Linked DNA regions of Drosophila melanogaster. The protein of the gene in region 2 interacts with the protein of the main gene of each other region in a pairwise test. Each region holds a gene or a part of one and is shown on either strand. Other genes may lie near its edges.

Region 1 (7,135 bases), on a different chromosome or scaffold from region 2:
GAACGAGAGTTGCCAGATGAATTTAGACGTTGCCTTGGTAACGGTTTTCACTTGATTTTATTGTCGAAATAAAATAAATAAAGAAGGAAAACAAATATAAGGGACTAAAATAAAATAATAATGTTTCGTCGTGGAAAACTATCCTTTCTAAACACCAAAGATGACCGTGTTAAAATAATAAACGAGCGCATAAACATAACAGAAAGGCATCTAATGGAGATGTGCTCTTCGTTTGCTTTGGTAACGCGGAAAATGGCCAAGTGAGTTTGGTAAATAAATAAATCTGAATGAATAATCATAAGACCTTGCAGATATCGGGACTCCTTTGATGAGTTGGCCAAGAGTGTGAAGAGCTACGCCGACGACGAGGAAATCAACGAGAGTCTCTGTCAGGGACTGAAGAGCTTCACCAACGCGGTTACCATAATGGGTGATTACATGGACATCAATGTACACCGATTGGAACACAAGGTGAATTATCCTTTTTTAAATCTGCATCTTATATCATATTATTGACTTATGTAGATTGTCAACGAGTTGGCGCAATTCGAGCAGCTTTGCAAGTCCACAAGGGACAATCTTCGACTGGCTGTCATAGCGCGGGATAAGGAGGTACTACGTCAGCGCCAGATGCTTGAGCTCAAGTCAAAGTTTTCTGCGAACAATGTGGGTATTAAAACGAACAATTTACTTCTTATATAATTCCCAAAACTTACCGTAGAGTGCCGCCGATTCGGAGCTGTTTAAGGCCAAAATGGAGGTGCAGCGCACAAACAAGGAGATAGACGACATTATTGGCAACTTCGAGCAGCGGAAGTTGCGCGACTTAAAGCAGATAATCAGCGATTTTATACTGATCGCCATGAAACAGCACACCAAGGCATTGGAGATACTCAGCGCAAGCTACTATGATATTGGAACCATTGATGAGCGCGACGATTTCATTGAGTTTCAGAAACTCATGAAGACCAAAGAAGAGCTGGCTTCCAGGAAAACTGCACTCAAAAAGGGACTGCGCTCCCAGTCGATGGATAGCTTGGAGCACGAGCACCTGGTCAGTCCGCTCAAGAGGCGCCCGAAGTTGTCCAGGAGCAATAGGAATCTGACGGGAGCCGGAATCAATCATGGAAGTAAAACAGAACCCGAAGATGAAACCGACGAGCAGGATGAAGAGGAAGATGATGAAGATGAGGTATGATTTGGCATGATTATGGAATGATAGAATAACTCCATTCCTCCCAAGGAAACCGAGCAAAGTGGCGAAGAGGACGAGGAATCTGGAACGGCAACGGATGACGAGAGGGAACCCACGCAGCCGGGCAACCAGGTTCCTCCGCGGGAGAATGTTTTTGGGGCCAAGATCCGATCTGCCAGCAAGGATATAGCCACGCCATCGACCAGTGCCAGTGCCACTTCTGCTCCTTCGAAGCCCAGCAGACAAACGGTCAAACATCCATTCAAGGCGGTGGCCTCCACCCATGTAAGGCTGCAGAAGCAGTTCCACGTGCCCCAGCACTAGCACTCAAATTATGACCAGTAGTAGAGTTCCTAGAGCTCACATCAGTATTGCAGGCACATTCTGGAATCGTAGCAAGAGCTTAAATAAAATTGAATTAGGAACATACTTCTAAGGGTTTATCTTAATTGGTTTTTGTAACCCCGCAGTCTCAGAGCTTCCTTTCATAATTTAATCAGAATGTATTACCACTCTCTATCTCATTGCCTTAAAAAACATGATATGTAGAAGCAACACAAATTGCAATTAATATTCGAAAATCATTCTGGTCCACAAATCAATGTTGATTTTCCTTTTAAAAGTAGGGATTGTTATATAGCACTCCTTGCCATTCAGCGCTGATTTCCATACACTTTTTATTAATGGACACGGGTCACGATTTGCATTATTTGTCCCAGATAAACAATACTAAATATATGCATATCATAACTAATCAAGCGGAAATGACGCGCTTCTCTTCCCCTTTTCGCAATAAACTTTCAGGTGAGGAAACACAAATCGGGAACTGGTCGCCTGGTAACCGTTGTTAAATCGAAGTCCTGAACACCCAAATAGCAGGGAATTTACAATTCTTGAATTTTTAATTTATAAATAGAAACTAAACGGCAATAATTCAAAATTATTGGCCATTGCTCACAAAAGAATTACTTTACTTAAATTATGATGTGCCCCGACCGGGCGAAACTTAAAACTAAGCAATAAATGGATGAGCAAATGTGTTCTTTTCTTCATTTCTTGGGGAGCAGCTGGGTGCGGAGGAGATTAAATGAATGTGAGAACCTGGAATTGTAAACTTGATACGGGTGACTGGGTGCCAGGTGTTCGATGTATGTATCTAATGGTATTGGGATGCACTTTCCGAATGGGCGTGGCCGTGCCAGCGCTACGGATCTCATTTCTCCGGTCCCTGACCCTCGATCCCGGCCTGGTTCATCAGATCCGCAATGCTCTTCTCCAGATCGTCGATGCGGTTGCCCATGTCATCGATGCGCGTTATTATCTGGTCCGACATCGTCTGGAACTTGTCCTGAACGTTCTGCAACAGATTTTGTACCTGATAACAGGAGGCAGGTTTACTGGGTGCTCATTTGGTGTCTCTATTTACTGGGTGGTTCCCGGTTCGGGCATTACTCACGTATATGGTCAGCTCCTGCATGTTTTTGGGGTCCGCATTGCTGTTCAGGGAGTAGTTCTGGTCCAGATCGCTGTCCATCTCGTTGCGCAGATCGGTCATTCTGTGGCTTCTTTGTGGCACTGTATAAAAGTACAAAAATGCTATCACTTCTAGCTCTTTTGCTTCTGTTTGCGGCTGCGGCTGTTTCACTTCTGCAAATTAATTTCTTTATCAAGCATAGGGGCGGACTTTGGTTCGATAGTCCTTTCGATAATCCTGGTGGTGGCAAAGTAGCTAGCTTCAAGTTTTATTTTCCAGTCATATTTAATGTCAATTTATTATTTTAATTTATTTTAATCTTTAAATAATTCAAATAAATATTAAGAACCATTTTTATTCAACATCATTTTATGGGATGTATTATTACAGAGAATATACCCAAATTGTAAATTTTGAAACTAAATTAAACTTAAATATAATTCTGTAATGTTTATTTCGTATTTCATATAAAAAACAACAAATTTGTGTATATTTTTAGTTTTAAAGCTTAATAGCTAGTAGCTTACGTTTTTCAACACTGCCCCACGTGTATTCTTTTAACTCATCCAAATGGAAGTGGACGAGGAAAAGCCGCAGGTTCTTAAAGAAAAACACATTATAAATAAACCACATTAAGCTAAGCATTACGATTGCAGATTATTGCTGAAAATCCCAACGAAAACGTGATACGCGAACGTAATGCGGAGATCGTTTCCGGCGGCAATGTGTTCTACAATCCTGTCCAGGAATTCAATCGAGATCTGAGCATTGCTGCTCTGAATGTTTATCGACAGAGATTGACCAAGGAGCGGAGCGAAAAGGCGCTCAAAAAGCAGCGGAAGAAGGTCAAGGAACAGGAGGATGAGAAGACCACTCCCGTTCCCGAGGATCCACCTGTTTATGAGGCCGGTACTCGATATGAGGATGGACTTCGGATCCTGGAGGCACTGGCAGCCACCGGTTTGCGTAGCATCCGTTACGCGCAGGAAATCGCCGGTGTACGCCAGATCGTGGCCAACGATCTTTCCCGCCAGGCAGTGGCCTCGATCAACACAAACATCCGGCACAACAAGGTGGAGGAGCTGATCGAGCCCAGTCACTCCGATGCAATGTAGGTTTATAATTAAGCTATTGGCACACGGTATAAAATGGGGCATTCCAATACATCGTACAGGACCCTCATGTATCTTTCGACGCAACCCGAGAAGCGTTTTGATGCAGTTGACTTGGATCCGTACGGATGTCCCAATCGCTTTTTGGATGGCGCTATGCAGTGCCTGGTGGACGGCGGCCTGCTGCTGGTGACAGCCACCGACATGGCCGTGCTGGCCGGAAATGCTCCGGAAGCTTGCTATGTAAAATACGGATCGGTTCCGCTGCGGATGAAGTGCTGTCACGAGATGGCATTGCGCATTTTGCTGCACTGCATCGAGAGCCACGCGAACAGGTACGGCAAGTACATCGAACCACTACTGAGCATATCAGCGGACTTTTACATCCGGATATTTGTGCGTGTGTACGTCGGCCAGGCCCAATGCAAGCTGTCGATGAGCAAGCAGTCTTGGATATACCAATGCACCGGATGTGAGACCTTCACGCTGCAGCCCTTGGGCATAACCAAGCCAAATCCCACGGCTGGTAATCCCCAGCAGCTGAAGTTCGGAATTCCCACTGGTCCGGCGGTCAACTCGCAGTGCGAACATTGCGGTCACAGGCATCATCTGGGTGGACCCATCTGGTCGGCACCGATTCATAACCCCGAATTTGTGCAGGATCTTTTAACGGCGGTCCAGGAGACCACCTTGCAATCGCTGGGAACCCAGAGACGAATCGTTGGAGTTCTTTCCATGGTCCAAGAGGAGCTGCAGGATGTTCCCCTTTACTACACGCCGGACAAACTGTGCTGTGTGCTCAAGCTAGAAATCGTGCCCATGCTAAAGTTCCGGTCTGCTATTCTCCACGCTGGCTATCGAGTCTCATACTCGCATGCCTCGAAGAATTCGTTGAAAACCAATGCTCCACCAGCGGTGCTATGGGACATTCTGCGCAGCTGGAGCAAGCGACATCCGGTAAATCCCGAAAGGATGATTCCTGGATCTCCACTGGCGGCCATACTTTCGAAAGAATGCACTGCTGTCTACGAGTTCGATGAACTCCATCCGGAGGCGAACCCGAAGAGTCGCAAATCGGCATTATCGCGCTTCCAAGAGAATCCGACTCCACATTGGGGACCTGGAACCAGAGCCACTATTATGTAAGCTAAGTAATCGAGCCACCCACTTTCGCATACTAAATTCCCATCCAATTTCAGGATTGGTGACAACAAACTACCCAAGAGCTATCGTAACCAGAACAAGAAACAGCGTCACAAAGCGTCGGAGCAACAGGCGGAGGATGACCAACAGGACACTCCACAAGCAGTGGATGAGTATGATGGAGATGTGGAGCACCTGCCCAAGCAGCCCAAGCTGGAGGCGACTGCGTGACGACTGCTTCTGTGTCCCAAATTTATTTCCAATAATGTTTGTAAAACCCAAAACGCAAAATGGTATTCTTTCTGGGAAAGCAAACACAGATTTGTGGAACTAATAGCGGAAGAAGTTGCCGTCGGAGGTCTGGCGCGAGAATCCATTGTTCACCAGCTGGTTGTGGACACCGCTGCAAATGAGCTTTACGCTGTGCGGATGAATCTTTTCTTTACAACCGCCTGCAACAATATGATTAGATTCGAAGTGGGTGTTACTTAAAATGCGTCGAGAACTTTAGGTTTGTACCAATTTTGTGATCTTACCTATGCGAAGTGGATGACCCAATACGTCCTCCTGCTTGCGCCGAATGAAGCGCGTGTTGCGCAACACCCGAAATGATTTGAGTTGGGAACCAATTTCCTTGGCCGCCCCAGGAGCTGACCAGCTACTTATGGCGCGGCACGTCTCCCTCTGCATCACGTAGTCCACCTTGTCCGGAAATGCTTCGCGGGTGTGATCGTAGCGCGACTGCAGCGAAAAGTCCAGCGTATCCTTCGGGATGTTCGGATTGGCACGGTACCGCTTGCTCGAGCGCACCGAGTTCATCGTTTGATGATAGAAGAGCCGCTGATACGGCTCCAGATGGCCATGCCAGGTGCCCGGTTTCAGATGGGCCTCCGGCAGCGGGGGCTCTGGAAAAGAGCACACATAGGTGCCCTCCGTATGCAGTTCCGGCTGCCTGAGAGCACACAATAGTCATCTTGAGCCAAGTCGGGCATAACTAAAGCTTACCATGATACATTCTTGATCTGCACAGTATCGTACTGAATCATCTTTGCAGGAGAAACCAATATAATTTAGATGAAAGTGTAAAAGGGTTTCTGAATCGTATTCAGAAGGACTTGGGTATATGTGATTTTGCCTTCGGTTTCCCGGCAACTGCTTTGTCAATATACCCCCCGACTACCATGTTTCTCGGGAGTCAATAGAAACCGAAACATAATGGATGGATGTTCTGGGCATCCGAAGATACTAGATCTTTCTTTACAATATTCCAAGATACATATATGTTTTAAAACCCCATTTCAACCAATTAATAACATATGTAGATGGTTAAGTTATAATCAAGTAAAACTTTATTGAAGCGTTTAATTAGGCTGCAAATTCAAAGGGTTAGCTCTCTCACTTACCGAATGTACCAGATCGTTAGGGAATCCCACATTTCGGTCGAGTCAGTATGCAATCCAGACTCTAGCATCCATCGCATCGTCGATGTGGCCTCTGCTGCAAATGATGACTTTTCGCCTAAACTCAAAAGGGACGCCCACCAAGATACAGGAAAACACCAACAACGCCAACCAGCAACAAATCGCGAGTTGAGACGAGACGAGACGAGGCGAGAGAAGAAGTGACGGGAAACGGGAAACTATGAGTGAATCTGGAGCAGCTTTGGCAGCGCCAGCGTCTAACAGGAAACAGGAAGCTGCTACGGCTACGGCAACTGCAACTGCAGCATCAGCGGCACCAGCAACAGCATCATGCGACAGCAGCAGCATCAGCATCAGCATCTGCAGCAGCAGCAGCAGTAGCAACAATCAGGAGCCACGCGGTGTCCGCCTACGTGAGGAAGGAGTTGTAGCTTAGATGATGCGCTGCTGCTGATCCTTAATCGCGAGCGATTTAACCACAATCTTATCTGAACCGCAACAACTGCCACACACCATTCGCCTGCATATATATAATAAACGTGTGGGAGAAGCTTGTTAATAAGTTTGTCGTTAAAAGGTACAAAGAACGGAAACGAGCAACACAAACGCAATCGAATCGAATCGCAACGAAACAAACAGAATCCTAGAGTATTCCTATCACTCATCCACCTCTCATTCTCCTCCTGTCCTGTCTGTCATTTGATATTTAGGTATTGAATTGAAGCCGTGTTAATTTGAGTTTATTTTGTTCTGTTTCTGATTACGTTCAAGGATTTCTACTACGCTCTAG
Region 2 (7,070 bases):
ACGCGAATTCCAGAATAAATAAAATTGTTATAGGAATATTAAATTAATTAAATGCAGGGTATTTTTATTTGGTATAACTATTGTAATGGAACGTTATGTAATATACGGTGAATTTAATCTTAGTTTATAGACCATTATAAATGGTGATATATAAAAATGAAATTTAAAGATAAAAGACAGCCCACACCTATCACCATTTAAAATATCAAAACGATGTAAGAATGTTATCGATAGGCGAGAAGCAACAGAGTGGGAATATGCCGCACAGGGTGTTTCGTGTGAATGATTTCGCCTCTTGTTTCTTATCTTTAACCTTCATTTCTGGCTCCGTTTGGCTATGAATTAGGAGCAGTCCCGAATAATCAGTCGAGCATACGTAGTTAACGATGGCGCCGAATGCAGCAGTACCAGTGGAGCGATATGAGCCTGAGAACATCGGGATCAACGCCATTCTCCTGGGGCCGCCGGGTTCCGGCAAAGGAACGCAGGTGGGTCAAAATTACATAATGATGTGTTTTTTGTGACACGGACGCCATGTAGTCTATAAATAAATACAACGTGTTCAAGTGCGCGGTTTTTGTTTGCAAATAATCGGTGAAGCTCGTTAATTCTCTTGGAAGAGAATTAAAACTGGTGAAGTTATATAAGACGATGTGTACATGGAAATGTATATGTATGTATCTACGTGCCAAGTATGTACATATGCGTCAAGCAGTGTCTTTCTCTTGACCCTGAATCAAATCAAAGCCTTGGCGAGATGTGGCGAATTAAGTGGAACACCTTTAGGCAATCGATTGGGTATTATGCAGACCATCTATTAAAAGGCTACCAGAACATTCCTGGCCTCAAGAAATGCATCTTATCTAGCCGATTGGTTACCTTGCTTACCTTCCGATATGGTGCTAAATTGATTAATTGATTAGCTCTAACTGAAACTTATCAATGTTTTTAATTATGCCCATTTCAGGCTCCCCTGCTGAAGGAGAAGTTCTGCGTGTGCCACCTGTCGACCGGCGACATGCTGCGGGCGGAGATTTCATCCGGTTCGAAGCTGGGAGCCGAGTTGAAGAAGGTCATGGATGCCGGCAAACTGGTCTCCGACGACCTGGTCGTGGACATGATCGACTCCAACCTGGACAAGCCCGAGTGCAAGAATGGATTCCTCCTGGACGGATTCCCCAGGACTGTCGTTCAAGCTGAGAAGGTAGCCACACGTGTGAAGCACTTTGGACTTTAGGTTATAATCCGTTCGAAACGCACTTTGCAGCTCGACACATTGCTGGACAAGAGGAAAACCAACTTGGATGCTGTCATCGAGTTTGCCATCGACGACAGTCTGTTGGTGAGGCGCATCACTGGCCGCTTGATCCACCAGGCCAGCGGGCGTTCGTATCACGAAGAGTTTGCCCCTCCAAAGAAGCCAATGACGGACGATGTAAGTATCTCTATAGGACGCTATCCAAGAACTCTAAATGAAAGCAGACCTTGTGTACTTGCAGGTCACTGGAGAGCCCCTAATCCGTCGCAGCGATGACAACGCCGAGGCTCTGAAGAAGCGACTGGAAGCATATCACAAGCAGACAAAGCCGCTGGTCGACTACTACGGCCTGAGGGGTCTGCACTTCAAGGTGGACGCCGCCAAGAAGTCCAGCGACGTCTTCTCCACCATCGACTCTATATTCCAACGCAAGCGTCCTGCCCAGATCCAGTTATGATTTGTTCCTGCGCAATGATCAACTACTGATAACTGCCTCCTGACAATTTATTTCGAGACACACACAACGTTTAAGCCTAAAGTTATAGTTGCATCCGGAAATCCTGAACAAACGAAATTACCTTTGCAGGTCGACTACTTTCCTTGTACAGATTTCTAAAGTGTATGTGTTTGTTACTTTTTACATTTCACTATTTGTAACTACAATACAATTTAATAAAAAAATCGAAGGAAACAAGTACATTTTACGAGACATGACTGCTTTAAACTGGGCTGCGTTCGAATGAGGGATGGACGACGCCAAGTTCAAACTTCCACACAATTGTTTTCCGGAAAGCTTCTGGAATATGATGCGGCTGACTCAGTTTCGAATCGAGGTTTTTAGCGTTTGATGGATAGCTACTAATTGTTCCGAGAACTATTTATTATTGCAATCAACTTTAAAGCGACTATTAAAGGGTCATGTTGCACGGGTCTCAAGTGTAACAAATGAGAAATTGCTAATGGAAATCGCTAATGAGATCGTTAAATCTGGTAAACAAATAACATATCGCCAAGTTAGCCCGTCCATCGTGGCTGCGAATCTCTCGCAGAGCGACTTTCGATCGCCGTTTAGTACTCAGACGTCACCTGCCTAATGTTAATGTCAATTTAAGTGTGTATAACTATCGCACATATATTATATAAATTTATAACGACGATTGACTAATCACTGGGTTGACTTTTCAGCAATAGCGATTTTCGCTTCAAAGTCTAAAGTGTGTGCAATCCCGTATGGATACGAGCCGAGCTCGAACACAGGCTCACAGCGCGCGGTTTGTGTTGTGTATTACACTTGAAGTTCAATCCCAGGTAAAAAGTGGGCCCAGGTATAAAAGCCCACTTCATAGAAACATTTCTCAGTTAGTTCCAGCAGCTGAATTGCTTCACATCTATTCGCTCCGAGTCGCCCCACAAGTCGAGCCCCATTGTAAGACCACCGCACCGTTTATAGTTTTTGGAGCCGATCGGCTCGGCTGGTCGACTGGTGGCTGGTAGTAGTCCACACACTCATGGACGCAGCCAGACGGGCAACCAGTTTCATTGTGTATAAACAGTGACATCTTTTCAGACAGCGAATGTGTTTCAGATACGCATACAAAGTGGCCTGCCTGGCTGTGCATTAATTTGCATACAAATCCCATAAGTCCACAGATACATTTTGCGAATGCAGTCGCGCTCGATGGCTAGTAAAAATATTTTTCCATTGCCCAGTAAAATCCCCTGCGCACAAAACTGGTTGCCCGACCAACAGACCCACTAAGCCACAAAAGTGCTGATTAATCGTACAAACATACTTACCCCAATTCGCCCGCAGAAAACTCCAAGATGAAGATGATACTTGCGCTTGTCGTCCTTGGACTGGTGCTGGTCGCCGCCGAGGATAAGTACACCACCAAGTACGACAACATCGACGTCGACGAGATCCTGAAGTCGGACCGCCTCTTCGGAAACTACTTCAAGTGCCTGGTGGACAACGGAAAGTGCACCCCGGAGGGCCGGGAGCTCAAGAAGTCCCTGCCGGACGCCCTGAAGACGGAGTGCAGCAAGTGCAGCGAGAAGCAGCGCCAGAACACCGACAAGGTCATTCGCTACATCATCGAAAACAAGCCCGAGGAGTGGAAGCAGCTGCAGGCCAAGTACGATCCCGATGAGATCTACATCAAGCGCTACCGCGCCACCGCCGAGGCCTCGGGAATCAAGGTGTAAGGCGGATCCCGGTTCCGGAAACTCTTGGTTATATGCACTGTTAATTAGGTCTACGCTTATATCTGATCATCAAAATTATTTCTACGATCGTGCTCGGAATAAAGAGATTTGTTTTTTTACCATACACCTGCCGAGTATTATATCGTTATCGAAGGGGGATTTGCCAGGCTTCAGAGAGTATATAAATTAACTATGACAAATGTAGCACTTAAGTCTAGCCTCCTGCTACTAGAACGATGATTAATCTAAGCACAATTAAGGTCTTAGAAAAAACATTCACAAGATTACGACTAGACCCTAATAAGCGGCTTATATATGGCGGGCGATTTGCATTAACATTGACAATAAAGGCAGCTACGGTTAGTTGGCAAAAACATCGCGTGCTTGTCTTGGTTCTGAGCTATTACTTATATTATTCTTAAAAGGGGCAATGAATCGAATCCGATGGCCGCAAGTAACTCAGCCGTGAAAACCTTCCTTCAAAGAACAAACAAACAATGTACAGCGAATTATTAATGTCACGGCAATTCACATTGCGAATCAAAAGATATTAAATATTAAATCAGTATTTTAATTACTTATAAATGTACAAAGCTTAGTATAAGGTTGTGGGCAGCGTTTACGTTAATGTTTCACCCTGGGCGACGCACGCCTCCAGATAGTCTATGCGCCGCTCCAGGATCGTTAGTTTTTCGTTCAGCACCGCCAGACGGGAGCGACAGGACATATCTGAAAGGATATGATAGCACACGATGATACAGTTTATAATGCCAACAGTGTACATAAACCCTATTAAGGATATGGGATATTTTAGCAACCCAACTACCTCGCACTCTTTGGCTTATCATTTATCACAGTATTTAGCGTATCTTAAATTATGCATAGAGCAACCGAAAAAGCTTATCCAATTCATTTAGGTGACTAATTCGGATAGAGATAAAGCCGAATTTTCGTTTTGAGCCCTCCGATGATGTTACATACATACATTTCCATATGTATGTAGATACATATATTGCTATACATATATGCCACCACGCACAAACCACTGTTTGTTTCTATAGACTTAAGACTTGAGTAAATAAAGTCATTGTCACTGATGAATATTTGTTAGTAATATTACTTATGCGTTCACCCACACCTACAAAGGAAGTGATAATAAACACGCGCACACACACATGCGTCAGAGGGAAGTGGGTGCTTCGTATGCAGGTTGCTTACCGAAAGAGTTCAGAAAGTCGGTGATTCTCTTTATGCTGGCAGTTATCACTTCGATATACTCCCTGTTCGCCCAGTCCTGGTGGATCTGCTTTTGGATCGCCTCTCTGTGAGCCCCACTCATCTTTATTTATTCCTATTGTTTCTGTTCGTTTTAATTGTGTTTATCTAGAGATGAGAGATGGGTTGGGCCGGAACAATTATTGTCAAAAATTTGGAACTATCGATAGGCATACAATTACCGTGTTCACCGTGATTCATTGAGATCAAATTTTTACTCCAACAAGAAATTTTAATGGTGTTTTACAACACTCCCTAAGCACTACTATTTAAAAATTACGCGGGAAAGTGCGATGAAAGAAATAACTTAATATTTTTGTCTGCCAACTATAGCGTGTAAATATGAATAATAAAATAAAGGTAAATAATAAAAGTATTGGGGTAGACACAGCCGAATATATAAAGAAACTTATCGCCGCAATATACAATTGTATATCGCAATATACATAGATATATTCGAATTTGCGTTTGCTATATTTTATATTAACCGTGGGTTAGTTTTCGATGTTTTATTGTTTTAAATGATATTTATTAAGGAATTACTGCAAACCAGCAAAGTATGTACCCATTTTGCGGTCCGATTCCGCGTGTTCCAATCGGAATGAGCCGAGCGAAACGATAGCTATTGATGCCACTCACGCACACGCACACATAGATAAACTAGGTGGCCCCGTAAACTACAGTGTTTTTCATTTGGTAAACAAAAAATGGACTTTATCGACGACTTCATCGAAGAATACAAAAGCAATCCGTGCTTGTGGAAGGCGGACTCGGCGGACTTCAGGAACCGCAGCCGCCGGCAGGAGGCCTACGCGAAGCTCATCGAGGTGGCCACCAAGCACGGGGAGATGTACAATGTGGAGCGAACAAAGCAAAAGATAAACAATCTGCGCTGTGCATTTCGTCATCAGCTGAGGAAATACAACGAGGTCAAGAAAAAGGGCGAGAAGTACGAGCCCTACTGCCCCAAGCGCCGCTACTTCGAGTCCCTGATGTTCCTTAAGGACGAGGAGATCCCCGCCGACAAGAAGTTCAAGCGCGAGCAGTCGGTCTGCCTGGACAACTCCATGCAGCTAGGGGCGCCAGAGAACGGCGACGAGTATTCCGACGCCGAGAGCCTGCACAAGCCCCCAAAGCCGACGGCAGACTCGATCAAGATGTCACCCAACAACAGCGCCAACGAATTCTGTGCCAACATCTTCGAGGAGGCCGCCGCCGCCGCTGCCGCTGACCCCGTTATCAGTATTAAAACAGTCAACAACGCCAACAGCCATGCCAGTGGCGCTACTATCAAGGAGGTCGAAATCGTGGTGCCTGCTAACAACAGGCTGCTGTCCGCCCGCAGAAAATCCGTGCCCGACTCCATAAAGTCTCCGCCTGGCGACTCCGAATCGCCGCAGTGCAAGCGCATCGTCACCCAGAACCAAACGAAACTGATCAGTAATCAGAGCCCGAGCCAGAAAGCCAATCACATAACACGGAAAAGGTCCTCCTCGGTCTCTTCGCAGATTTCGGAGGACAACGAGCCGCCTCCAGGTAAATTCCGAGCGGACATTTCCACCATTGACTTTGAGCGCCTCTTTTCGCTGGCCCTAAAGAGTGCGGACAGCCAGCTGGACGACCACTTCTCCAACTTCGGGAAAATTATCGCACACAAGCTTCGCTCCATGGACGGAACACAGGCTATCTACGCGGAAAAGATCATCGCCGATGTGCTGTACCAGGGCCAGATGAAAATGCTGTCCTCGCTGAGTATACACCAGTTTATGGGCGTGGACAATGCAACAGTTTACCTAGAGAGCCACAGTAAATGATGGCCTGGCCCCTTTAAAGACGTACTTTTAGAGTTTATGTAATAATAAGATGTAAAGAGACAGTCATGTGTACAAAGCCATGTTTTATTTAAAGGAGGGATTCCTTTCAGCCGCCTAATCCTTAGAAAATCCCCTAAGCTACGAAACCAAATGCTAGGAATGATGTCGAGACTAGTTTATTATATTCGATGCATGAGAATAACATTTAAATGCCATTTAGGCACTGTCGTACTTCCTTAGAAGCATGGCCCATACGTCCGGGTATCTAGTTTGCAGAAATGTGGTCAGCTTTTGCGCTTTTTGAGCCTGTTGTGGGGAGCAGTTCCTGCATTTCCTGGTTATAACTTCTGGCAGGGCAGCTGTAAGAACCAAATTCGAAATAATTACATTTTGGGCTCTTTACCAATTGGCGAAGAACTTGAAAAGAACTTTGGACTTAAAATGATGTTGTATCTGAACGAACATTAAACGAATATGTTTATTACCTTTGAGTTGAAGTCCCAGTTGGTCGCATTCGC

Evidence for each region.
Region 1: the proteins of HSPC300 (region 2) and CG5446 interact in a two-hybrid assay, tested with the Drosophila melanogaster proteins (one large-scale study listed by BioGRID).

Annotation. Positions count from the first base shown.
Region 1 is NT_033779.5:12,424,818-12,431,952, forward strand, and holds CG5446 (uncharacterized protein), read right to left. Parts: upstream 2,893-7,135; 5' UTR 2,751-2,892; coding exon 2,652-2,750; intron 2,571-2,651; coding exon 2,409-2,570; 3' UTR 1,814-2,408; downstream 1-1,813. Other genes in the region: Fam92, read left to right, coding at 121-260, 312-471, 526-666, 722-1,192, 1,244-1,519; Trm1 (tRNA methyltransferase 1), read left to right, coding at 3,240-3,266, 3,326-3,780, 3,844-4,923, 4,981-5,155; CG5435 (uncharacterized protein), read right to left, coding at 5,255-5,376, 5,461-5,876, 5,930-5,970.
Region 2 is NT_033778.4:24,023,933-24,031,002, forward strand, and holds HSPC300 (haematopoietic stem/progenitor cell protein 300), read right to left. Parts: upstream 4,858-7,070; 5' UTR 4,803-4,857; coding exon 4,682-4,802; intron 4,193-4,681; coding exon 4,083-4,192; 3' UTR 3,785-4,082; downstream 1-3,784. Other genes in the region: Xxylt (xyloside xylosyltransferase), read left to right, coding at 1-18; Ak2 (adenylate kinase 2), read left to right, coding at 387-488, 968-1,204, 1,268-1,435, 1,500-1,715; EbpIII (ejaculatory bulb protein III), read left to right, coding at 3,083-3,463; CG3163 (uncharacterized protein), read left to right, coding at 5,446-6,552; CG30172 (uncharacterized protein), read right to left, coding at 6,769-6,911, 7,038-7,070.